Saccharomyces cerevisiae S288C: one gene and its partners. Changing the gene in region 3 together with the main gene of any one other region gives a genetic interaction. Each region holds a gene or a part of one and is shown on either strand. Other genes may lie near its edges.

What was found.
Region 1: of BOI1 (region 3) and RHO4, extra expression of one rescues a mutant of the other (dosage rescue), as found in Saccharomyces cerevisiae (2 studies listed by BioGRID).
Region 2: of BOI1 (region 3) and RHO3, extra expression of one rescues a mutant of the other (dosage rescue), as found in Saccharomyces cerevisiae (3 studies listed by BioGRID).
Region 4: of BOI1 (region 3) and CDC42, extra expression of one rescues a mutant of the other (dosage rescue), as found in Saccharomyces cerevisiae (2 studies listed by BioGRID).

Annotation. Positions count from the first base shown.
Region 1 is NC_001143.9:546,608-552,093, forward strand, and holds RHO4 (Rho family GTPase RHO4), read left to right. Parts: upstream 1-1,608; coding exon 1,609-2,484; downstream 2,485-5,486. Other genes in the region: DYN1 (dynein heavy chain), read right to left, coding at 1-1,318; TRM2 (tRNA (uracil(54)-C(5))-methyltransferase), read left to right, coding at 2,841-4,760; 40S ribosomal protein eS21 RPS21A, read left to right, coding at 5,050-5,073, 5,396-5,486. UniProt on the Saccharomyces cerevisiae protein: Plays an important role in cell growth. Required to keep the uninucleated state. May be involved in the organization of the cytoskeleton which affects microtubule functions.
Region 2 is NC_001141.2:136,932-142,827, reverse strand, and holds RHO3 (Rho family GTPase RHO3), read right to left. Parts: upstream 3,077-5,896; coding exon 2,381-3,076; downstream 1-2,380. Other genes in the region: pheromone-regulated protein PRM5, read left to right, coding at 1,259-2,215; RPI1 (Rpi1p), read left to right, coding at 4,951-5,896. UniProt on the Saccharomyces cerevisiae protein: Plays an important role in cell growth. Required to keep the uninucleated state. Modulates morphogenesis during bud growth via directing organization of the actin cytoskeleton and the position of the secretory machinery for exocytosis.
Region 3 is NC_001134.8:62,216-70,378, reverse strand, and holds BOI1 (Boi1p), read right to left. Parts: upstream 6,504-8,163; coding exon 3,561-6,503; downstream 1-3,560. Other genes in the region: ALG3 (dolichyl-P-Man:Man(5)GlcNAc(2)-PP-dolichol alpha-1,3-mannosyltransferase), read left to right, coding at 1-628; anaphase promoting complex subunit CDC27, read left to right, coding at 934-3,210; YBL086C (uncharacterized protein), read left to right, coding at 7,777-8,163. UniProt on the Saccharomyces cerevisiae protein: Functions redundantly with BOI2 to promote the fusion of secretory vesicles with the plasma membrane at sites of polarized growth.
Region 4 is NC_001144.5:601,778-607,581, forward strand, and holds CDC42 (Rho family GTPase CDC42), read right to left. Parts: upstream 3,011-5,804; coding exon 2,435-3,010; downstream 1-2,434. Other genes in the region: ECM22 (Ecm22p), read right to left, coding at 1-686; BNA5 (kynureninase), read right to left, coding at 3,981-5,342; EST1 (Est1p), read right to left, coding at 5,648-5,804. UniProt on the Saccharomyces cerevisiae protein: Involved in development of cell polarity during the cell division cycle, and essential for bud emergence. Affects signaling in the pheromone-response pathway through the STE20 protein kinase.

The DNA of each region.
Region 1 (5,486 bases), on a different chromosome or scaffold from region 3:
TTTCATCCAAAGTAGCCTTTACGGATGCACTTGTAAATGTTAGCTTTTGTATAAGTAGCTCCTGTGGTGCTCTTTTCCTAAGATCCTCTCTTATTAAAAGATTGACATCCTGGACAATATCATCCCATTCTTCTATCATGCCTGCTGATTTTTCATATAAACCCAAAAAAGAACCATACTCTAGCTGAAATAAATCTGAAAGATTACTTAGAATTGCATCCATGACTTCTTGTGAAATTTTGTCCATCAGCACAACAAATCTTTGAACTGGATAACCTGAATATCTGAACTTCTTCAAAGAAGATGCTAAAACAGGAAATAGTTCCTGCAAGTCCTCAAGATTGCTTGCCTGGCGAACCTCATCGATAGGGATTGACGATAGAAATTGGTTATATTTATCCGCTAGCTTAAATTTATCTGAAAGTGAACCTTCATTCAATAAATTTGTTAAATTATGAAATCTCTTTGCGTTTGTTAGAACGGATAGACACACCTGAAATTCTTGGCTTTGTGTTTGTTCAATTAACGACTTCAGTACTTCGTAGAAATTCGACCAAAACTCAACTTCGTCTAAAAAAGAACCATTTTTTATATCTCTGTCAATGGCTAATGTTTGTTTAAGAACCAAAAACCATTTGTTTGCAATGCTTTGTAAAATGTTCAAAAATCTCATACTTTCCAAATCATTACTAGGAAGGTAGTTTGCATAATCATGTGAAGTAGCCCCTTTTGATACAGCCAATTTGATAATGCTAGGGACCATCGCTAAAAGATCTGGCGTTTCAATTGAGGTATGTAACTGTTGAAATTGTTTAGAAATGTCGTCAAGTTTCCTCCTCGTTTTATCTATAGTTTCGACAGAATATGTCTTTGTATCTGATTTTATCAATTGGCCAAACACAGACGATACGCCATGTGTGATAATTGAGGCCAGGTTCCCCGCATTTACTGGACCAGGTAAGTATATGGCACTTATTTGTGTTGCAATCGGTTCTGCATCCACAATAACACTTCTAGATTTAATAATTAATAGAGTAGAATACTTTTTATTCGCCAAGTTGGCATCATATATAGCCTCTTCACCAATGTCTATTGTAACTATTGTTCTATCCAGCTCTTCAAAAAGGAAGACAAACAACGTGTCGAACTCTCTCCCATCCAATAATCCCAAAAAAAATTGAAACCGTTCAAGGTATTGACAATGTAGATAATCAATGAATGCTTGCTCATTCTCTTTGGGAGAATTCTTTATACCCGTTACAGTAGCTGCAACAAATTCTATCAGCTCATTAGCAAGTCTTGCCTCATTCTTGCACATTGCCTAAAAAACGTTTTGACGTACTTTCCAATTTAAGCTCTGAACGAGTATTATTGCCCTTCTATGTTCTATGCTTTCTGTTAATTTTTATATGTAATGTTTGTTTACCTTTCATTAGCTTATTTATTAGAATCCGTACAATGCGACCTTCCGCGCATCAATTCGGGATGATCTGATTAAGTAGTTATAGCCTTACGTTAAGACGACAAAAGACATGATAAGCATCCCTCAAAAGTTACAGCAAACTTAAGTCAAATAGGTCCAAAAATCTCCAATAGTAACGCTTTTTCATGAATACACTATTATTTAAGCGAAAAGGTGGCAATTGTGGGAACGAAAGTAACATAGTTTCGCAGGGATCGCCCTCAAGTAGCAATCTTCCTGAATCACCTGGCACTTTAGATGAAAAGAATCTTCCCAGATTGCCTACTCCATTCGCTAGAAGCCTTTCTACCATTCCTAGTTATGAGCAGATGAAACGTACAAACAAACTGCCAGATTATCACCTAAAGATTGTTGTTGTGGGAGATGGCGCTGTAGGGAAGACGTGCCTGCTGATATCTTATGTCCAAGGAACATTTCCGACTGATTATATTCCTACTATTTTCGAAAATTATGTCACAAACATAGAAGGACCCAACGGTCAAATTATAGAATTGGCATTATGGGACACTGCCGGCCAAGAAGAGTATAGTAGACTTAGACCGCTTTCATATACGAATGCAGATGTGCTGATGGTGTGCTATTCTGTTGGTAGTAAGACATCGCTTAAAAATGTGGAAGATCTCTGGTTCCCAGAGGTTAAGCATTTTTGTCCTTCCACTCCAATCATGCTAGTCGGCCTTAAATCAGATCTATATGAAGCTGATAACCTTTCAGATCTGGTGGAACCAAGTTCAGCAGAATCCTTGGCCAAGCGTCTGGGGGCATTTGCACATATTCAATGCTCAGCACGATTGAAAGAAAATATCGATGAAGTATTTGAAACTGCCATACACACGTTACTTTCCGATTCATTATATGCTCCCAGAGAGCCTACACATACAATCAAAAATCCCTTTAAAAGAAATACCACCAGATCAGATATCGATTCTTCTACTGGAGATACCAGCGTCTCTATTTCCGGAACGAAAAGATTAAGAAAAAACAAGTGTATTATAATGTAAGAATAATGATGAAGATTATTCTGTTGCCCATTCTGTACGCACTTACAACATTTGAAAAGTGGCAAGAAAAAATACACACATTTTACTATCTTCCGCTATCTTATTTATCAAGACGAAACAATTAGAACCTGATTTAATTTAACTTCCATTTTTCTGAATCTGGTGTGATATACCGCTCCAATATATTCGAATTTATCCCAATTTTATCATAATAATTCATTTTAATTCGATGTCATAAAGTACTAATTCGATATTAATCTAGCCTAATTACATTAAATACTTAATAAAAGCTTCTGTGACATAAAAGTACAAATCTGTCATTTTATTTTAGAGGAATAGTTTAGGACAAAGTCATTATGTACGAACAGTTTGAATTTTCTTTTTTTTTCTTCGAAAATTCAGACAATAAGGTTAAATATAAAGCTCATCTCATCTCATCGATAAAACGCTGGAGTATTATCACATGCATGCGTTGCTTTTGGACCGTACAGAAGTCTATATTTAAAGCTAGGTTTTTCGCTTGCAGAAACTTTGTCAAGAAGCATAATTATAAACTAATCAGCACCATGACTGGAAGTACTGAAATGGTACCACCAACAATGAAACATACCGTTGACAACAAAAGGCTTTCGTCTCCTTTGACAGATTCTGGTAACCGCCGGACTAAGAAGCCAAAGTTGAGAAAGTACAAGGCCAAAAAGGTTGAAACAACTTCTCCGATGGGTGTCCTAGAATTTGAAGTGAACGATTTGTTAAAATCTCAAAATTTGTCCAGGGAGCAGGTTCTGAACGATGTTACTTCAATTCTAAATGATAAGTCCTCAACAGATGGACCTATCGTCTTACAATATCACCGAGAGGTAAAAAATGTCAAGGTCTTAGAAATTACTTCCAATGGCAACGGGTTGGCTTTGATCGATAATCCTGTTGAAACAGAAAAGAAGCAAGTTGTTATCATACCGTTTGGCCTGCCCGGTGATGTAGTTAATATCAAAGTCTTTAAGACCCACCCTTACTATGTCGAGAGTGATTTATTAGACGTAGTGGAAAAATCTCCAATGAGAAGAGATGATTTAATTAGGGATAAATATTTCGGGAAATCTTCAGGAAGTCAATTAGAGTTCTTAACTTACGATGACCAACTAGAATTGAAAAGAAAAACAATTATGAATGCCTACAAGTTCTTCGCACCAAGGTTAGTTGCTGAAAAACTTTTACCCCCATTTGACACCACCGTAGCTTCCCCTTTACAATTTGGCTACAGGACCAAAATTACGCCTCATTTCGATATGCCAAAAAGAAAACAAAAGGAACTATCAGTAAGGCCTCCTTTAGGATTTGGTCAAAAGGGTAGACCTCAATGGAGAAAAGATACTTTGGATATCGGCGGACATGGTTCGATATTAGATATCGATGAATGTGTGCTTGCAACTGAAGTTCTCAACAAAGGATTGACTAATGAAAGAAGAAAGTTTGAGCAAGAGTTTAAAAACTACAAAAAAGGCGCGACTATTTTACTGAGAGAGAATACCACTATTTTAGACCCTTCCAAACCAACTTTAGAACAGTTAACCGAAGAAGCCTCTAGGGATGAAAATGGTGATATAAGTTATGTCGAAGTCGAAGACAAAAAGAACAATGTCAGGCTGGCTAAAACTTGCGTTACCAATCCTAGACAAATTGTCACTGAATATGTTGATGGATATACTTTTAATTTTAGTGCGGGTGAGTTTTTTCAAAATAATAACTCTATCCTGCCAATAGTGACCAAGTATGTCCGTGATAACTTGCAAGCTCCCGCTAAAGGTGATGATAATAAAACAAAGTTTCTAGTAGATGCTTATTGTGGATCAGGTCTTTTCAGTATATGCAGCTCCAAGGGCGTAGATAAAGTGATTGGTGTAGAAATTTCCGCTGACAGTGTCTCTTTTGCAGAAAAAAATGCAAAGGCAAATGGTGTTGAAAACTGTAGATTCATCGTTGGAAAGGCTGAGAAACTCTTTGAGTCTATTGATACTCCAAGTGAAAACACTTCCGTTATCTTGGATCCACCACGCAAGGGCTGTGACGAATTATTCCTAAAGCAATTAGCCGCATATAATCCAGCCAAGATTATTTACATATCGTGTAATGTCCATTCCCAGGCACGTGATGTCGAGTACTTCCTCAAAGAAACAGAAAACGGTTCCGCCCACCAGATTGAAAGCATAAGAGGATTTGATTTCTTTCCACAAACGCACCACGTTGAGAGTGTGTGTATAATGAAGAGAATCTAATTGCACATATAAAATATCTATCACTATGTATATCTTTCTAGAGTAAATGTCTTCCTGTACTTTTAAATCCGTACATTTTGAAAATTGAAAATGTATCTCAGATTCATTTTTCAATTCGAAATGAACGAAAATTACACTAAAAAGGTAACGTGTAGAGTGATATTATGCACAACGATTTTTTGAAAATTTCATATACGTTATTCTAATGTTTAGTAGAGAGTTTAGCGGAAGATATAAGGTGATCAGGCGTAAATTAACCACATACAAACCATAGAAACATCATACCAAAATGGAAAACGATAAGGGCCAATTAGTATGTTCGAGAAATCTATAAGATTTTTTATATTTTAACGGATGAATGGAAAGTGCATGGCTGTTTAAATAAATGTAAGAAAGATATCATAATGCAAACAAAACGTAGGCATCCGCAATGTATGGAAAACATACTTATGGTTACCGATAATAAGCAACTCCGAAGGTGCCATAGACCAGCTCTGAATGCAGCCTACAAAAGTTGAGCAATTTCTGACAAAATTCTTCGATTACTTTCTTCACATGTATTAAATCATCACTCACCACCACCAACAATGTGTTTTTTAAACTAGCATAACTAACAAAGATTTGTTTTACATCAGGTCGAACTTTACGTTCCAAGAAAATGTTCTGCTACCAACAGAATCATCAAGGCTGATGACCACGCATCTGTTCAAATCAACGTCGCTAAGG
Region 2 (5,896 bases), on a different chromosome or scaffold from region 3:
TATTGAACAGAACTGTGTGCATCCTTTTCAAGTTATATAACGTGAGAGATAAAATATCAAGTATGTCATGTCAGGGTAAGAAACATCAATTGAAGTGAGTCAACAGATCCAAGAAAAAAAAGCACTAACTACGTCACTATACCATGAACTATTGAAAATTGGTAGTTTAGTCATCTCAGATTCCATTCATTGGAAAAAACAATTGACTCCTAACAATTAACTTCGGATTAGTCATTAATTATTTCAATGCTTGACTCCTTTTTTGAATAGTCTCACCCGGATCGTAGTCACATGATCAAATAAATTATTGCATTACCAATGGCTTCTGTATTAGTTACTGTCCAGGAAAGGTCTCAATATAACCGGTCACCTTATTTATGATAACAATTTTTAACCATTTACCCTTTATTTTTGCAAAGTTATGACCTTTGGAATGCGGCAGAAAAAAAAAAAATTGATGAAGTAGTCATCAAACAGGTTTCGGCGAAAGACAGTACAAGAATTGCCAGCTAAAGCTTTTCTAATATGTTATTCCATCAAATATTCACGCTATTAATGCTATCTGATCGATTACTTGGTAAAAATAACCAAATGAGTATTGGGTCATATTTTGGAGAAGCGAAAAGTGCACGGCATACTTAAAGAAGAGAAAAAAATTCTTAATCAAAGCTTAAGCGGCATCGCATAACTCTGACAAAAGTATAATCATAGTATGTGGTTTGAGTAAACAACAAGACTGGCAGGTAAGTTTTTTAAATGAATTTTCTTAGCAGGGTTATTGCGGCGCACGTCTATAGGTGATTTACCTTTGTTCCTGAATATACATGATATTCTTAATGCGACAGCGCCCAGGGAAGCAAAGAACGCCGACGAAAGAGCGGCGGAGCAAAAGGCGCAAAGTGACACCTTCCGATCCTGGGAAGTGATCGGTTTCGCTGTTCGGGCTTTTCTTAGACAAATAAAGTTTAATTTTCTTGCTTTCTCTTTTTGGCTAAGAATTCTATATTGTTCTTGAAACAACTTTGTCACACGTTCTAAAAATAAAATGGAAAATGGAAAATGAAAAATTAGAGAGAAAATGTATTACTGAAGAATGTGGTAAAGACATTTGAAAAATATTTAATATATTACCTGAGATCATTCAAAGGAACGCATCGGTGCAAAGAAACAGTTATAGCATTAGAGTTAAGTCAAGAGCACTCATTATTACTTTAAAAGGTCGTTGAAAATAGAATAAATTGACACTCAAAACGCAAGAATGACAGTAATCACCATTGCCAAGAGAGGCCTTCCAAAATTAACCACTTCCACTTCTTCGACAACAACTGCCAGTTCAAGTAGTACGATAACATCTGTTGCTTCTTCTTCATCTTCTTTACCACTTTTGTCCAACTCTACATCCTCTTCTATTATACCAAGTATTACTCCTCCCTCTAGAAATGGTAATCCTTATATTTTGGATTCCGGGGATATGCCTAATGGAACAGTTTTCATTGTAGTGGGGGGAATCGCGGGAGTGATTTTTTTGGCAATATTGCTATGGTGGGTAATAACAACTTATTCTTCGCATAGGTTGACCAGAAGTGTTCAGGACTACGAATCAAAGATGTTTTCCACACAACATACCCAGTTTTACGGCGATTCCCCATATATGGATTATCCCGCCAAAGAAAATTTCCAAGATCAGGTCCATATCAGCGAGTCCGATATTAGTCCCGGAAATAAGGATGAATCGGTGAAAGATGCACTTGTATCTCATACTAATAATGAAAAACCATTCTTAAGTAATTTCGAAAGGCCGCTATTCTCTCTTGCATCCGAATCCAACAGAAATTCACTTTTCATTTCACCAACAGGTGATATCTTATACAAAACAAGGCTATCTAAACTTTACCAAGAAAGCCCTAGATTATTACAGAAACCTGTGATTATGACAAGTGATAATGTATCTACAAATTCTCTGGTGTCTACAATCTCTTCATCATCCGCATCGTCGCTCGATAACGGTAATGAAAAGGAGGTGGGTGAAGACATAAGGAAACCCGCAAAAATTGCATCTTCACCAAGTCGAAAGCTGCTTAATTCACCAGAAAGTGATGGTAGCGTAAATCGTAACCATAGTAAGGGTAATTTGTTGGTCGTACAGTCCAAAAGAAAACCTACACCTTCGACTTATCTCGAGCACATGCTGGAGGGGAAAGAACAGGATGAGTAAAAACTTTTATGATATTTTGCAATATTTTTTTTAAGCAGTGGTAGTAATTACATAAAAAATATAAAATAGTAGGAGTATTATTAACTTCTATAACTTATTATATTATTTGTTTAGTCTCTCTTTTTGGGTTCTATTCTTTTGTGTGTGCGTCCGTGTCTTATTATATTACATAATGGTACAGCTGGATCCACTGTCACTTTTCACTTCGGTTGCTACTGGGCCCGCGGTTAAAGCAACTCTTGCGGCTTCTGTGAAAGCTTCGTTGACACCTTTATTCAGCTTAGCGCTACATTCCAAATAACGTAGCGCACCGATCTTTTTAGCCATAGCTAGACCTTCTTCATAACTTATCAGGTTTTTGCCGTTTGAGGTGCTATTTATGTTATTTCCGTTGTCGTTAGAAACGCTGTTATCCTGTTGGATATTGTTCGGTGTGATTGCGTTAGATTCATTTTCATTGTTTCTTAAGTCACACTTTAGTGCAACTAAGACTAACTTGACGCCTTCACAATGATCAGTGATTTCACCCACCCATTTATTTTGGACATTTTCTAAAGAATCGCGTGAATCAATACTGAAACATAACATTATACATTGCGTATCTGAATAAGACAAGGATCGTAACCTGTCAAATTCCTCTTGGCCCGCAGTATCCCACAACGATAGCGTGATATGTTTACTGTCAACGAAAATATCATGGATATAGTTTTCAAAAACAGTAGGCTCATAAACTTCGGGAAAATAACCTCTGGTGAAAACATTCAGCAACGAAGTTTTACCACAGGCACCGTCGCCCAAAATAACGATCTTTCTTTCGATCGGTTTATTTGACGTTGAAGCTGACCCACATAGAAATGACATGTTTGTTTCCCTTTACCTTGTGCTACTATGGATTTTAATGAAAAACTTGTTGTTATAAAGTAAAAAATGCTGACCAGAGCTAGAGATGAGAACGATAAAAAAACGAAAATCAATGGTTGCCTATTTTCCAGTAAATTCAAAATAATACATGTTTTTTCTTTCTTTTTCTTTTCTTTTTACTGTTTACCAATTTTCAGGAATGTTAAGAAAGATAAAAGAAATATACAAGATGCCATTAACGGGTAATGGCACCAGTATATCTATGACGGGTAATCCTGTTAGTGGATGTCAAAAAACGTTCTTGGGGTTTCCCGGACGCCTTACACTATTTTGTAAAAAAGCTCATCCACACCCCTCTCCTTGTATTTCTTATCTATAATCTACTATTTCTCGCGTAGGTGCGGTAACGCTGTTCCAAGAAAAAAGTTGGCCGACGACTGGTTCTGGGCCGGGCTCGACCGGAAGTGGTAAGTGGCCTCAATTTGAGTTTCGCTTACTCCTTCCATTCTTACAACACACCCGAAGTTTAATTCACGTGACCAGATAAGGGATTTATTATATGTTTATTGTAAAAAAAATAAGGTAGATAGACATATTACATTTCCTCGTGCTTATCGAAGTATTTTTCTTAGACATCTCGCATGACCACAATGCTGGCTCGAAGGCATTTACTCTTTCCTTGGGGAGATGTGCTTACTGTGATTGATTATGTATTCTTGCGTGCATCTGCAAATCTGCGTTGACTAATTTCGGAGTCTTTTAAACACAGAAGCATTACAGGCCCCTCTCCTCACTTGTGCCCAGTATGCAAGTGTGCTTTCCTGTGAAAACTCCTTCATTTTCTTTTCTTACGCATATGCATAGTCGGATTCCAGCTATTTCCATAGTAAAGAAGAAGAAAAAGTAAATACTTCCTTTTCACATGGGCCGGCCGATGCAGGTCCTCAGGTACTTCGTTTATAAGCTTATATAAGCATGCAAAATTAAACGAGGTGGCTGCTTTAAGAGCGTGCAGAATATAGTCACTTACTACCCTAAGTTAGGACTTTGTCTTAGGAACAAACACATCAAAAATGTGCAGAACAACAAGCCCGCGGGGGTTTTTGCGGTTGACTACTCCTGCTTCATGTCTTTTCTCCCCTGCCATTTGTGCTTCTGGATTTGCTTGAAGGTAACCTTAAAGGATCTGCGCATCTTTCTCTTACGAAAACAAGTATAAGATTTTGCCTGGGCAAACTTAAATTACGGAAAAAGGAGTCGTCGAGAATGTTGCCCTTCCACATTTGGATTAGCTGATAAACGTAAATTGGGGGGGGGGGGGGTCGGTTAAATTTTGTCGACGGGAATGGAATTTTCTCTGGTATTTGCCGCAGCTTGCAGATAGTAGAGCCGATCTTGTGAGGTTAACACCGCATATGGCATTCTGTTGCAAAGTTAAAATGCGTCACCCACCCTAGCGCCTAGGGTCGAGTACTGTTTTAAACTTTTTCAAGACCGGGCGTACCATTGTGCTTGTTCCTTACTTCGTTATTTTCTTGCATATTATATTGGTTGAGATTATTTCTATGGACTATATATAAATAAGGGACGGTCGTATTGTTCTTTTATGTCTGCATCCTAAAGAGTATTTTTTTTTATAGTCTTGTTTTCTTGTTCAAATTAAAGAAAGATCTAATAGTTTTCGTAATACTGAAACTACTCTTTTTTTTTCCTTACAATCTGACTTTTTTTGTATTTCCTTTTTTTCCGTTTGGTTATCCAGACTACAGTTCATGGTAGTATATCATATTATCGTATTCGTTTAACTATTTCTCAGTCCTTTTTTTTAAGTCTTTTTTTTTTTTTCTCATCATTTTATTACTGATATTTATAAAATGTACTTGGAATATCTTCAACCGAAGTTGAACCTAATGGATGAGTCTAGCACTATAAGCAAAAATTTCCCTGATTATTCACCAAATTTAAACACACCCATTACTTCAAATTTTAATGAAGAAACGGGTTCGGACTGCTCTTTAGTTACTCCAAGAATAATTTCCAGTTCAAATTCGAATTCGAACTCCAATTCTAATTCGAACTCCAACTCCAACTCAGGCTCTATTGACGAAAATGAGCTAAACAACTCTAATTCATCCTCCTCGTCTGCAAGACAGATAAGGAAAAAATGGAAAGAGCCTGAGGATATAGCATTCATTACTACAATAATGAATAATTCTCAATTACTAACATTCGTAGAATATTTCAAGCCTATGAAGAATTTTTGGAAAAAAATTTCAAAAATCCTATTCCAACAATATGGGTACGAGAGAAACTCTCGTCAATGTCATGATAGATTTAAAGTCTTATACACAAAGTCTTTGAAAGTGCATCCATCAAAGAAATCCAAGCAAAAGAAAAAAAAATCAAAACAAGAGGCAGGCTCAAACTTAAATTTTGATCCGTCAAAATTATCTAGAATGCAGTATTTGCTAGTGCAGTTACAAAACACTTTTAGTTTTGTAAACGGAAACATTATACTCAAGTCGCAAAAAACATTGAAGCCGAACAAGAATGGTACTAATGATAATATTAATAACCATTATTATAATAATTGTAACAATAACAATAATAATATTAACAATAGTAACAATAGCAACAATAATAATAGCAATAATATTAATAGGAATAGTAATCATAGTACTAATGTTTTTAGTACACCAGAGCATATTCAGTCAAGTATCAACCTCGATAAATTAGAATCTTTGCCAGCTTTGGATACCAAAGGAGAACCATCCTTCATTAGCCCGGCTCAATTTTCCCTTTTGTCATCAGCACCGGCAG
Region 3 (8,163 bases):
TGCGATGATTGCATGGCAAGTCGCAGTTGCAGTGCCCTTCCTGCGCAGCTTTCCGCAACAGTACCTGCATTGCGCTTTTAATTTCGGCAGGAAGTTTATGTACCAATGGAGTATCAATTGGCAAATGATGGATGAAGAGGCTTTCAATGATAAGAGGTTCCACTTGGCCCTTTTAATCAGCCACCTGATAGCGCTCACCACACTGTTCGTCACAAGATACCCTCGCATCCTGCCCGATTTATGGTCTTCCCTGTGCCATCCGCTGAGGAAAAATGCAGTGCTCAATGCCAATCCCGCCAAGACTATTCCATTCGTTCTAATCGCATCCAACTTCATCGGCGTCCTATTTTCAAGGTCCCTCCACTACCAGTTTCTATCCTGGTATCACTGGACTTTGCCTATACTGATCTTTTGGTCGGGAATGCCCTTCTTCGTTGGTCCCATTTGGTACGTCTTGCACGAGTGGTGCTGGAATTCCTATCCACCAAACTCACAAGCAAGCACGCTATTGTTGGCATTGAATACTGTTCTGTTGCTTCTATTGGCCTTGACGCAGCTATCTGGTTCGGTCGCCCTCGCCAAAAGCCATCTTCGTACCACCAGCTCTATGGAAAAAAAGCTCAACTGAAACAGATGTATAAATATCATATAATCGTATTGTTTTAAATCATTTCTTTATACCATCTATATAGTACTACTAGTATTTAATGGTGCCGTTATTACCCGCGCTTGATTTTCCTTTTTTTTTTTGATCAAAAGGATGGAACAGGCTGAAAGTAAACCAAAAGGATCAAAGTGCAAGCAAAGGTGCCACAGAAAAGTTTATCAAAAAACCATACCTAGCTGTGAGAGTTTTAGACTCTGTTTTGGTGACTGCATATCTATTCATAAATCGACACGAACTTTTCGTGCAGGATACATAATAAAAATAGCATGGCGGTAAATCCTGAGTTAGCACCGTTCACCCTCTCGAGAGGAATCCCCAGCTTTGATGATCAAGCTTTGAGCACCATCATACAGCTTCAGGACTGCATTCAGCAGGCTATTCAGCAGTTGAACTACAGTACCGCAGAGTTTTTGGCCGAACTGCTCTATGCTGAATGCTCCATTCTCGATAAATCAAGTGTTTACTGGTCCGATGCGGTATATTTATATGCACTTTCGCTGTTTCTGAATAAAAGCTACCACACTGCGTTCCAGATATCCAAAGAATTCAAGGAGTATCATCTTGGTATCGCTTACATATTCGGGCGTTGTGCTTTACAGCTTTCGCAGGGAGTTAACGAAGCTATCCTCACTCTTCTCTCAATAATAAATGTATTTTCTTCGAACAGCAGTAATACGCGCATAAATATGGTGTTGAATTCTAATCTCGTCCATATTCCCGATTTGGCCACTTTGAATTGCCTGTTAGGCAATCTTTATATGAAACTGGACCATTCTAAGGAGGGAGCATTTTATCATTCTGAAGCATTAGCCATTAATCCTTACCTTTGGGAATCTTACGAAGCGATTTGTAAAATGAGAGCTACCGTGGATCTCAAGAGGGTTTTTTTCGACATTGCAGGGAAAAAAAGTAATAGTCATAATAATAATGCAGCTTCATCGTTTCCGTCTACATCACTATCGCATTTCGAACCTCGTTCACAACCTAGCTTATATTCAAAAACAAACAAAAACGGCAATAATAATATCAATAATAATGTTAATACACTGTTTCAGTCGTCTAATTCTCCCCCTTCTACATCGGCATCTTCTTTTTCTTCCATTCAGCATTTCTCAAGGTCACAGCAGCAACAAGCGAACACATCAATAAGGACCTGCCAGAACAAAAATACTCAAACTCCTAAAAACCCTGCAATCAACAGTAAGACGTCTTCTGCGCTACCAAATAACATTTCCATGAACTTAGTGTCTCCATCCTCCAAACAGCCTACAATAAGCTCGTTGGCCAAAGTTTATAACAGAAACAAACTTTTAACGACTCCTCCATCGAAACTGTTAAATAACGATAGGAACCACCAAAATAACAATAATAATAATAATAATAATAATAATAATAATAATAATAATAATAATAATAATAATAATAATAACATTATAAATAAAACAACTTTCAAAACTCCAAGAAACCTATATTCCTCAACAGGAAGGTTAACAACTTCCAAGAAAAATCCAAGGTCTTTAATAATCAGTAACTCAATACTAACGAGTGATTATTCAATTACGCTGCCTGAAATCATGTATAATTTCGCTTTAATATTAAGGTCGTCATCACAATACAATTCGTTCAAGGCAATAAGACTGTTCGAGTCTCAAATCCCATCTCATATTAAAGACACAATGCCATGGTGTCTAGTGCAATTAGGAAAACTTCATTTTGAGATCATTAATTATGATATGTCCTTAAAGTATTTCAATAGATTGAAAGACCTACAACCGGCAAGGGTAAAAGATATGGAAATTTTTTCTACTTTGCTGTGGCATTTGCATGACAAGGTTAAATCTTCAAATTTGGCAAATGGGCTAATGGATACAATGCCTAATAAGCCCGAAACATGGTGTTGTATAGGTAATTTGCTATCATTGCAAAAGGATCATGATGCCGCAATAAAAGCCTTCGAAAAAGCTACTCAGTTAGACCCAAATTTTGCATACGCGTATACTTTGCAAGGTCATGAACATTCTTCCAACGATTCTTCGGATTCTGCCAAGACATGCTATAGAAAGGCGCTAGCTTGTGATCCTCAGCATTACAATGCATATTACGGATTGGGTACGAGCGCTATGAAATTAGGTCAATATGAAGAAGCGTTGTTATATTTTGAAAAGGCAAGGTCAATTAATCCCGTCAATGTTGTGTTAATCTGTTGTTGCGGTGGTTCTTTAGAAAAGCTGGGCTATAAGGAAAAGGCTCTACAATATTATGAACTAGCATGTCATTTGCAACCGACTTCCTCGCTATCCAAATATAAGATGGGCCAGTTGCTCTATTCCATGACAAGATATAATGTTGCTTTGCAAACTTTTGAAGAATTGGTGAAACTCGTTCCTGATGATGCCACAGCCCATTATTTGCTGGGTCAAACATATAGAATAGTTGGGAGGAAAAAAGATGCAATCAAGGAGCTAACTGTTGCTATGAATTTGGATCCAAAGGGTAACCAAGTTATCATCGATGAATTACAAAAATGTCATATGCAAGAATAAACGCAGGTTGGCCAAAACATAACAAATTGAAACATGTTAAATGTTTTCATAATTCTTTTTGTTCTTCGTTGTTTCATATTTATTTTTAAGTTAATGTAATAGTAATAGTTAATAATAATAACGTTAATGGTAACAATAATAATAATATATATATCCAGTAATTTGAAAGAAGAGGACATCATGTCTGCGGTTCCTGCGATGTACTTCTTGATAGTATCAGTGTCTAATTTGATTGTATTAATTCGTAAACTTTTTATTTTTATATACTTTATATCACTATATTATGTTCTATTAAATATTAATTATTAAGGTGTTTAAGTTGGTCAAGAAGTAACTAATGATTGCAGTTCTCAAAGTCTGCCACCAGGGTATTCAAATGCTGAACTTTCCAGGTAATCGCTGGTCTCAAATTGATCTTGTTCGATTGGATAATTAGAATTTCTTTTATTTTGGGTGTCATCCCATCCAAATTGATCTCTTCCCTCTTCCTCTTCAGCATCTCTTAACTGGGTTTGTAACCTAGCTTCTTCCAATAGCGTCTGTGCCTTGCTTAGAGGTATCGTTGGTGTGGCATATGAACTAATGACAGGGACGCTTGTATCAATATCAATAGTGGCCTTTATTATGGCTGACAGCCATGCCTTCATTTCAGATTTATTCTCAACTGCAAAATAGTGAACGCGAGGTTCTGTAAAGGTTAGCCCCTTTTTGGACCCCGGTTGCGGAGGGACCAATTTGAAACAGTATTTTCCTTTTCCTAAGCTCGCAGCGTATAAGGAAATGAGCCTATCATCATCACTGGCAGGTAAGACCCTATGTGCCGTTATATCTATCAGGCCACGCTCCTTCTCATCATTGGTATTCGTAAAATAAGAAAGCCTTGTTCCATGAAGTGTGAAAAACCGTTGTTTCCAAGTCCCCATAGCACCGGTACCTTTTTTGCTCATCCAGCCTGAACAGTCCGCAGTTTGCATAGATTCCTTTGCTGTGATAGAGCGTATACCTTCGGTAAAAGCAGATGTTTGTTGCTTTTTAGCATTCGACCTGGGAAGTATCGATTTGGTAGATTTTTGGGTAAGTTCACTGGGAGATCTTTTGAATTCCTTGCTTCCTACAAATGATTCTTTGGTGCTACTAAATAATTTCTTTTTGCTTTTTTCTTCGGAAGAGCCATCTTTGGAGCTACTGTTCTTGTGTTTGTGCTTGCTCTTGTGCTTGTGCTTGTGCTTGTGCTTCCCTTCACTTGGTTGTGATACTGCCTCCTTATTATTACTACTAGTAGGAGTTTCGCTATGCGCTAAAGCAATATTGGATTTGGAATTTATAGGGCTTAAAGAAGTTTTCAAGGGGCTGGTAACTAACGAGTGTTTTCTACTATGGGAGTAAGATTGTGATCTTGCATGCGAATAGGAATTCGACTGAGAACGAGAATGGGAAGTCATCTTTGCGGGATCGATAGTGAAAGTTTGTTTGGTTGGTGACGTTGGATTAGACTGACTTTTTGAAGAAAAAAAAGATAATATAGAAGAGTTTCTCCTATGCTTTTTCATTTCAGAAAGTGAGGCATCTCTTGAATGTCCGTAAGACGACTTTCTGCGTGCTGAGTCAAAAACTGCTCTGCTAGCTTTTGAAGGTTGTTTCGTTTCTTCTTCGTCGAAACTTGACTTGACTGGCGATAGCATTGAAATCCTGTTGAACAAATCAACAAATGAGCTTCCGGATTCCGTCCTCTTATGGTTATTGTAAACAACGGAATTTCTGTTCGGATGATGAGATGTAGCATTTGAAGATATATTTGAAATTGCGGGTAGAGATTCATCTGTGTTAACCGTGTTAATAGAAGGTATAGTAGCAGATGTCAGTGTTGTTTTCCTAGAGTTCGAGTCATGACCATTCATGGCAGGGAATTTGAACTTGCCCGTTGAATTATCGGAAGATGTCGAAGAATTTGGAATTAGCCCATTTGAATAAACGGTTGGGTTCTTGTTTTTAGGTGGATATGTTGTTTGAGGAGGAAACCTTGCGTTATTATTTGTGTACCTGTTATTAAAAGAGGGCGATTGTGGAGGTTGAACTGGACTTGGATATGATGGTGGTTTTGGAGCCCTTCCCGGTGATTCGAAAATATCTTTATCAGCAAACAAATTAGGAACTTCTGTCATATCTAGGATCTGCTCAGCTGGGTCGTGAAGTTTAAAATTGGGATTAACAACAACCGAGCTTGGTCTTTGCAATTCTGTGGTGACCGAAGATGATTTTCTATCAGAGCTTTCACTTGACAACTTGTTACACTTGGAGGAAATTTGTTGTTGGATTTCGTCTCTATTTACAGTGGCTGCAGGCATTAGTTGGGCAGCTTGGTTTTCAAAAGCAAAGGTAGAGTAGTCGGCGTCCAGTTTATTTGACGACGAATCAATTGCAGACTTGATGTTCCTTATTTCTTTGAATATCTGAAATCTTATACCAAAAGAATTTATTTCCAATTCTTTTAGGTGTTCCAGTTCTAATTCCAGTAGTATTTTTCCGGAGACTTGATGCTCTTTGAATTTATTGCAAGTGGATTGATCAAATCCAACCAAGCTAAAGTAATCAGTAACCTCTTCTGGGCTCCAACTTTTAGCCATTTTCAAATCTAATTGACGAACTGATTCCGAACTCGGTTCTAGGGATTTTGTTGATATATTTGACTTACTTATATTCTTCAAAGATTCAGAACTTAAGTTTAAATCCGCTGTGCTAGAAAATAACGAGTCATGTGTCGTGTTTTCCTCATTTCTGGTTTTTTCTTGAATCAAAGTCTGTTCATCTTGCAACTGTGGAGTGCTAACTTCGGGCACGCGTGTGGGCGATTTTGATACCTCTTGTTCAACTGAACCACTTCTTAGCTCTTCCAAGGCTTTGTCTATATCGCTCATTGTACTTTTCAATGATGTATATCTGTTCTCCTGTTGATGCGAGGAGACTTTACCTATGTTACTCGCAGAATCATTTAAATTTCCATATTTAACACCAGAATTTCCACTCTCTTGGGTTGGTGATTTGTGCAGGTTCTCTGGTTTTTCTATTGCTATTCTTTTGGTAAATACCGCTGGGTATAAACCTTCCTCTTTGGTTCTCAAATTGCGCCCATAATACCAGCCGTCATTGTACTCCCCATCATCAGTAATGACTTTAATTTTATCACCTGGTTTCATATTGAGCTCGTCCTCCATTCGTTTAGAGTACTGATTTACCGCAATATACAGAGGAAAAGATTTGGCCCCTTTGCCTAGGGTATTTCCTTCGAGACTCATCTTCTATTTTTTATTATTACAGTGGCCTCCGGTCACCTCGAGTTAGAACTTTGTTGAAATTCAGTAAAACAATTGTTTCTTTAGACAGACGCAGTAAAACTGCTTGATAGAGCGAAGAATTGCCTTTAATTGACGCACCCAATTCTTCGGATGTAAATCAGAAAGTATCCTAAGGGAAGCGTATAGTTTTCAGTTTCTTTTTCCTTTTTTTTTTCGTTTTCTGCCAAATTTTTAGTGCCATGTTATTCATTTACCTTTCACGTCCTTTCGTTTGTTTTGGTACGGGGGAATGTCGTTTCCGACTACGCGGTTTCGAAAGTAGTGCAATGTGGCTGAGCTCTCCCCCCCACACGTGATAGCCTTTCTTACGCGTCAATAGAATAGAAAGCTCACATACTCTTGAATATTTGGTAACATCTTTTGAAGGACAAGTTCATACAATTATATGATATGCTTCAAGTTTTCCAGAAAAGATTTCTAGGCATGCCATACTTCCCTTTTTTTTAATTTTTGTCACGAAATCCTGGTATTTATTCTTGGAATGTATTTTTTTCTTTTGAAACACATTACCAACTCTTTTCAAAATCTCCAGGAATGGCAGAGAAGAAAACAAATTTTTATCTGCAAAACCCCGGAGAACACTCAAATTCCTAAATCATGACTGTACTGTTAAGTCATGCCGTAGTAAATATTGCACGATATCATCTTGATGTAAACTGGACTTCGTTTAGATCTACCAGCATACCAGCTCTACGTTTTCTGATAATTTAGCTCCACTTCGTTAAAAAAATTTACCGGCTGATAGGGAGAGAGTCACTGCTTCGATAGAGACTTTAATTTTAATATTACTTTCATCTTCATGCGGCTCGGCTCCCATGTATTCACCGCTCGTAGAAGGGAGAAGAGTTGGTAACTTTTCTTTTTCATTTCTTGCCCAAATATTGCGAACATGATAGCAGTTGATGGAAACGTAATCAGTTAAGTGTCTTAATTAGCCACCATTCAGAGGTCTTGGATGCATATATAACAATCTCGGCGGCTAAATCAAGATATTTATTTCCGGGTAAAGAACGCGTGGGTATATTTCTTTTTTTTTTTTCGGGAGAAGTTTTCTCAGGGTCCCCCCCCTTTGTATCTCTTAAGATGACCAAGTACGGTGACAACGGCAAAGCTCACTTGCTAATGAAGGAGTGAACACCTTCTAATTTCATTCAGGTTGCTTAGAAGTATTAGGTACCCAAGAAAGGTATAATACCGCTCACAAAATATTAAGATGCCATTTAATCATAATAGCAAGGCAAAAAGACCAAAGTTTCTACTGGACCTGCAAATCAAAGAATTGGTAAATATTCCTCAATCTTCTGGCTATTGCTACACGAAATGGCGTTTGAAGGATGGAACAGGTACGTCGGGACACAAAGTGGCTCTGGACGGTGAGCATCAAACCACTTCGACCCAGAGTAGAGGTACAACAAAACACGTGCATGTGCAACATCATAGAGCACAATGGAATTATTCATTAGACAAACCAATCCTGGTGAAGCTCCACTTGGATAAAAACGGCAGATTCTTGAAGAAAATTTTGGTGTTGGATGTTTTTTTTGAGTTTGCTGATGCGAATTCCTCGTTGACTTCTAGTTCTAGTCCCAATGGCAAAGTG
Region 4 (5,804 bases), on a different chromosome or scaffold from region 3:
GCCGTTGATTGAAAACTAGGTGTTATCGGTATACTCAATGGCGAATTCCCTGGTAGGGCCATGTTTGGGTGGTTGTTGTTTATCATTGAACTGGGAGCTGTTTGTGTTATATTATTATGCGCTTCAGCTCCATTTGCACTGCTGTTGGTACTGTTACTGGTGTTATTCACTAAACTCGCTAATAGGTGCGGTAACAAAAGATTCTCCATATTATTGGATACGGATGGAGGAACGCTATTAGGGGAATTGCTTTGTTCATCAGTACCAACATGTGGCAACAGTTGCTGCTGTAACTGAACTTGCTGTTGTTGACGAAATTGCTGTTCTTGTTGATGATGAAGTTGCTGTTGTTGTTGTTGTAACATGATGGCATTGTCACTCAGATTTTTCTTGCCTACCCTATCGTGGACCGCTGATGCAAATTTTGACGACGAAGAATCTTTTCTTCTTCTTGGCTGAATAGGGCTGTAAACACAGTCCAATTTCATGTTTGTACATTTCTTGCAAAATGGTTTGCCTTCATCACATTTTACTCTTCTTCTTTTACAATTGTCGCAACCGGTCTTGGACTTGTTATGAAACTTCCGTTTCCCTGTCGAAGTCTTGCTCACTTTCTTGCCCCCAACCTCAATCAGTTCAGCATCCTTCTCTCTTTCTTGTCCAGCATTCCCATCATCGGATGTCATGTTATGTTAGATGGAGATCTATGGATAAACGAAATATAAACCTTAAATGAAAAAAACCGTCGACTTAACTCCTCTATATTATGTAAAGGCGAAATGTTATTTGTGCCTTTGAAAAGTGGAGGTCTTGGTTGCTTCTCCTTCGACGATAATCGATTTCGGTGACTAGTTAGTAGATGATGTAATCGTAGACGCAGGGAACCCTTGCTTTTCCCCAATCGTAACAAAAAAAAACAAGGGGAAATAAACTATTAGATAGTACGAGTTCGTTAAGTTAAAAAAAAGGCTATAAAAGTCGAAGAACGAATGATTACGACCAACATCTATTGTTCAAACTTGCCTTCGTTGAGTTTATCGAACGCGCTCGTTTAAATTTTTCCGACAAGAACGAGGAACGAGTCACCAATTACGTTTTCGGCTCTGTCGGTTGCAGGATCTGTAAAAGCGATATAGATACACACGTCAGCATGAAGCTCTTATGATTTGGCGAGTAGTGTTAGTACGTTAAATGCTACGACTCGGCATATACTGTGCTCGTTTTTATCAGTTTCATCCGAGGATTGTAGCCTTTTTTTTTCATTTGTTGATGTTTCTCTAGTATTTTCCGTCTTGTAGTGGTTTCGGGTATGTTGAACATAAACATTAAAAAAGACGATTAAATAAACTTGAGTTTGTACAAAGGAAAGCTGTAGTCATAGAGTATTTAGAAAAAAAAGCAGCCACAGTTTACATGAAGATGTGACCAATGAGGAGGCATCGGTTTGCCTTTGAATCTCAATCGCTTGAAAATTGAGTTCTTTTCGAATGATGACACCTCCGAGAAATGGCATTTCTATGCTAGCGCCACTCTACCCTTTCAAACGTCCGTACTCATATGAAGTTTCATCCTTCACGCAGCGATCTAAAAAGTTGTAAAAAAAAATACATTTAGGCCTAGCTATATATGCTACTATGTATCATTCAGTGAAATGGCTGAGGTTATATAAAATACTGGGAGGTCGTTTTTACGCTAAAGCAGACCTTGCGGATCTTTTCCTGTAGAATATATTTGTAGCATAAGTCCAATTTTACGGGCGCATTTTCAAAATCAAGGTGATATTGACATATTTTGAAGAGCACCCAATGGGCTAGCTGCAAGAACAAAGAGACCAGAAAGCCTAGAATTAAATGCCAGAAAAATGGAAATTTATTCTAGACAAAAATTGTTCGGCACCTCTACAGACGTTTAACGAACCTGGTCCGGCCTTTGAGGCGATCAAAAAAAGGCCCATTTTTGTGTTCCGCGTAATTGGTTTGCGCCTTTCCATGGAGCTTGGTGGGCGACATTCTCAAACTGGTTTCCTGATACATCATGCACGCCCGTAAAGGGTTTAAGTATTGATTGCTAGCCTGAATGTTTCATATGCATACCGTGTCTATGCAACGAATATATTTCAGAAAAAAGCACGAAAGCCAAATTTTTGATGTTAAGAGGTGTTTTTGCCCGTAAACGGAGAAGACGTGGTAGGACTCGCAAATGTCGCGTTTAGCGTTGAAGAACATGGAAGTATTGAACGTTTGGGGCTTGACGGCTCGACTTTTTTGCACTACTCCGCCTTGAACAGACGGATGATCCTGGCGCAAGAAACAAAGAGAATCAACTCTGAGCAAAGCGAAAAAATGAAATACAACGATAATAAAAGGATAGGAAGGTGTATATATAAGTTAATTTTAGATATAGATTAAGAAAAGATGGGCATATACTAATATGACTACAAAATTGCACATTTTTTACTTTTCTTGATAACAGGAGGCTCCAAGGCGGCCACGATAGCTTCATCGAATACATTCTTCAAACCGCGTTGTGTTAGTGCCGAACACTCGACATATTTTACTGCTTTCAGTTCTCTTGCTAACCTGGAACCTTGTTCTGATGTAATCGGACGTAATCTTTGTCTTTGCAACTTCTCGATGATTACCTTGTCATCCCTTAGATCAATCTGCGTACCGACGACCAGGCATGGTACACCTGGACAATGGTGATGTACTTCAGGGAACCATTTTTCTTTAACGTTTTCAAAAGAGGGTGGGGAAATAACACTGAAACAAACCAAAAATACATCAGTAGAAGGATATGACAAGGGTCTCAATCGATCGTAATCTTCTTGACCGGCCGTATCAAACAAACCTAACGTATATGGTTCATCACCAATCATCACAGTCACCGCATAGTTATCGAACACTGTTGGAACATAGTCGGCTGGAAATTGATTCGTTGTATAGGAGATTAGAAGGCACGTTTTCCCAACAGCACCATCACCGACAACAACACACTTTAGCGTTTGCATTTTGTGGAAGAGCTAATACGTTTATTTCTTGTTTTATAAGTTTTGCTTCTCTAATTCGTTTGTTAACCTATCTCCTCAGGAAAATAGAATAGTATAATAAATAACGAATATAATTTTTTGCGACAAAGGAAACCTATTGCAAAAAGTGAAGAATGACAGAGAAGGATAATCAGTATATCTCGGTACACCTGGAACCTATTTATCAAAACGCTGCTCTTGCCTTTTCCAAGAATCGCGTCTATCATCGATCAATCAACCTTGTTTGCTTTTTTTTATCACTTTTTCCCGTATCTTGTTTCATTTGGAAGGGCCCAATGGAAGCAGTATTACCCGTATTGAATGACCCTTGAATCGACGGTGGAAGACATCTTTAATGCGATGTTTAGAAGACAATGTGCCGTATTTACCTGTATATGTGGATTATCTAACAGTCTACAATACAAAATTAGGTGTAACGTAGCTACAACAGTTGATAGAAATAATGCAACTTTTTTTAAAAAAAAAAGAGAAAGTGCTCGAGGTGGGGATTGAACCCACGACGGTCGCGTTGCTTTTAAAGGCCTGTTTGAAAGGTCTTTGGCACAGAAACTTCGGAAACCGAATGTTGCTATAAGCACGAAGCTCTAACCACTGAGCTACACGAGCATTTTCGAAAGAGACGTAAATTAAATTGTTATTTATACCGTAGATGATTGTTTTTCACGAAATTACCCTTTTGAGTTCCGGCTTGTTTCGTTCAACAGTACTACCACTGATAAGTTAGCTTCATTATTGGAAGAAGGTTGATAAATGAAAGAAGATTCACGACTATGCACGGCAACTGGTAAGTAATACACGGGCCCAGATATTTATTTTAATTCTTGGAAAGAAAGTATAAATTTATAGGTTCGCTATCAGTAAGTATACGAATTTCAAACTACGTCATATATAATATCCAAAAGAAGATGAAGGCGATGCGGTCACTCTAGGACTACAACTTATCCATCGCCTCATTTAGTGCATTCACCGCAATGTATACATCTGAAAATGTATTATATAAGGGAGCAGGAGCCAATCTAATTACGTTTGGTCTTCTTGCATCGCCAATGACACCATGGTCATGCAAATATTGGAAAACTTTGGGCATAATATCCTCTTTTCCAGTGTCAGAATCGAAGTAAAGTGACAATTGGGCGCCATGTTCTTCATCTGTGCTTGTTGGAGTTAATATTGTAAAAAAACATGGTAATTTCTCGATCCTTAAAGGGTGTTTGTAATACTTGGAGGCTTCCAACAGTTCCGTCATATAGTTCGTCAGCAACAACGATCTTTTACGAACTTCATTAATACCATTAAACTTCGCAAATAATTCCAATGAACTTCTCAATGCCACTGTGTCAATAACGCTTGGATTAGATTGCCTGAATCCCAATGCTCCTGGAATCGGCTCGAATACTTCCAGCATTTGAAATCGCTTAGCAGGATCATTGCCCCACCAACCAGCTAATCTTGGCAAACTTTCCTTAGCAGGGTCTGGTTTAGTATGCTTCGAGTGGACAAATAAGCCACCAATTCCACCAGGCCCGGCATTCAAGTACTTGTAAGAACACCAACAGGCAAAGTCAACACCCCAATCATGAAGTTGCAATGGGACGTTCCCTACAGCGTGTGCTAAATCCCATCCAACCAATATGTCGGGGAATTGGTGGGCAAATGAGGTGATTCGGCCAATATCGAAATATTGCCCCGTGTAATACTGAACACCTGACAAACAGACCAGCGCCAATTCATCTTGATTTACCTCTATGGTATCCAGGATATCTTGAGTTCTGATATAAGTCTCTCCCTCGCGTGGCTCGATCTGAATAAAAACATTCTCAGGTTCCGAAATTCCATGAATTTTGCACTGGTTGTAGAAAGCATAATAGTCTGATGGAAAGGAGCCCTTTTCAAAAAGGATCTTGAATCTTTTCTCAGTAGGTTTATAAAACGTAATTAACAATGAATTCAAATTTGCAGTGAGACTATTCATTACTGCAACTTCATTTTCTTGAGCACCCACGATGGGGGCTAGTAGTGGAAGAATAGGTAAGTCAATGCTGACCCAAGGCACCTTTCCTCTGGCTTCTTCAGGATGTTTGAAATGCGATTCCACAGCACAATCGCTCCACGCATCTAGCTCAGCATTAATTGAATTCCTAGTTGACTTCGGCATCAAACCTAAAGAATTCCCGCATAAGTACGTCACAGGCTTATCGTCGGACGATAGTCCCATGGATTTAAATGTAGGGATGTTGAATTCATCCCTCAGAGATTCCGGATATTCTCCGTCTAATTCCAAAGCTTTCTCCATAATTACCAGTTTGTTTCTTTTTTCCACAGAATATTTAGGCTTAATATGTACGTATTGACAGCATATATATTTGCTGTCTTGAATTTATTATGCTAATAAATAATTATGTTTTTCAAGCGCAGTCACCTATTTCCAAAGCGATGGGTTTGTCCGTGCCGTAGACGGCATCCCGTCGTTTTAATAACCGTTATAAAAACCGCCCCCATATTTTCGTGGGTTGACGACGACAGGCGTGGACGACGTTAATTGACGTCGTCATAATATATTTCATATTATGATTTTTTCCCTCACCATTACTTGTTCTCTCAAGTAGGAGTATCTGGCACTTGGACGGTGATGTCCTCATCAGCATCAATTGCTTCGTCTGGATATGAGAGAAAATCAGAGGATAGTGGGCCAGTGATAGTTTTTCTCCCTCGTGAAGCAGCATGTTTTACCAACTCAGAAGAAACGCCATCTTTT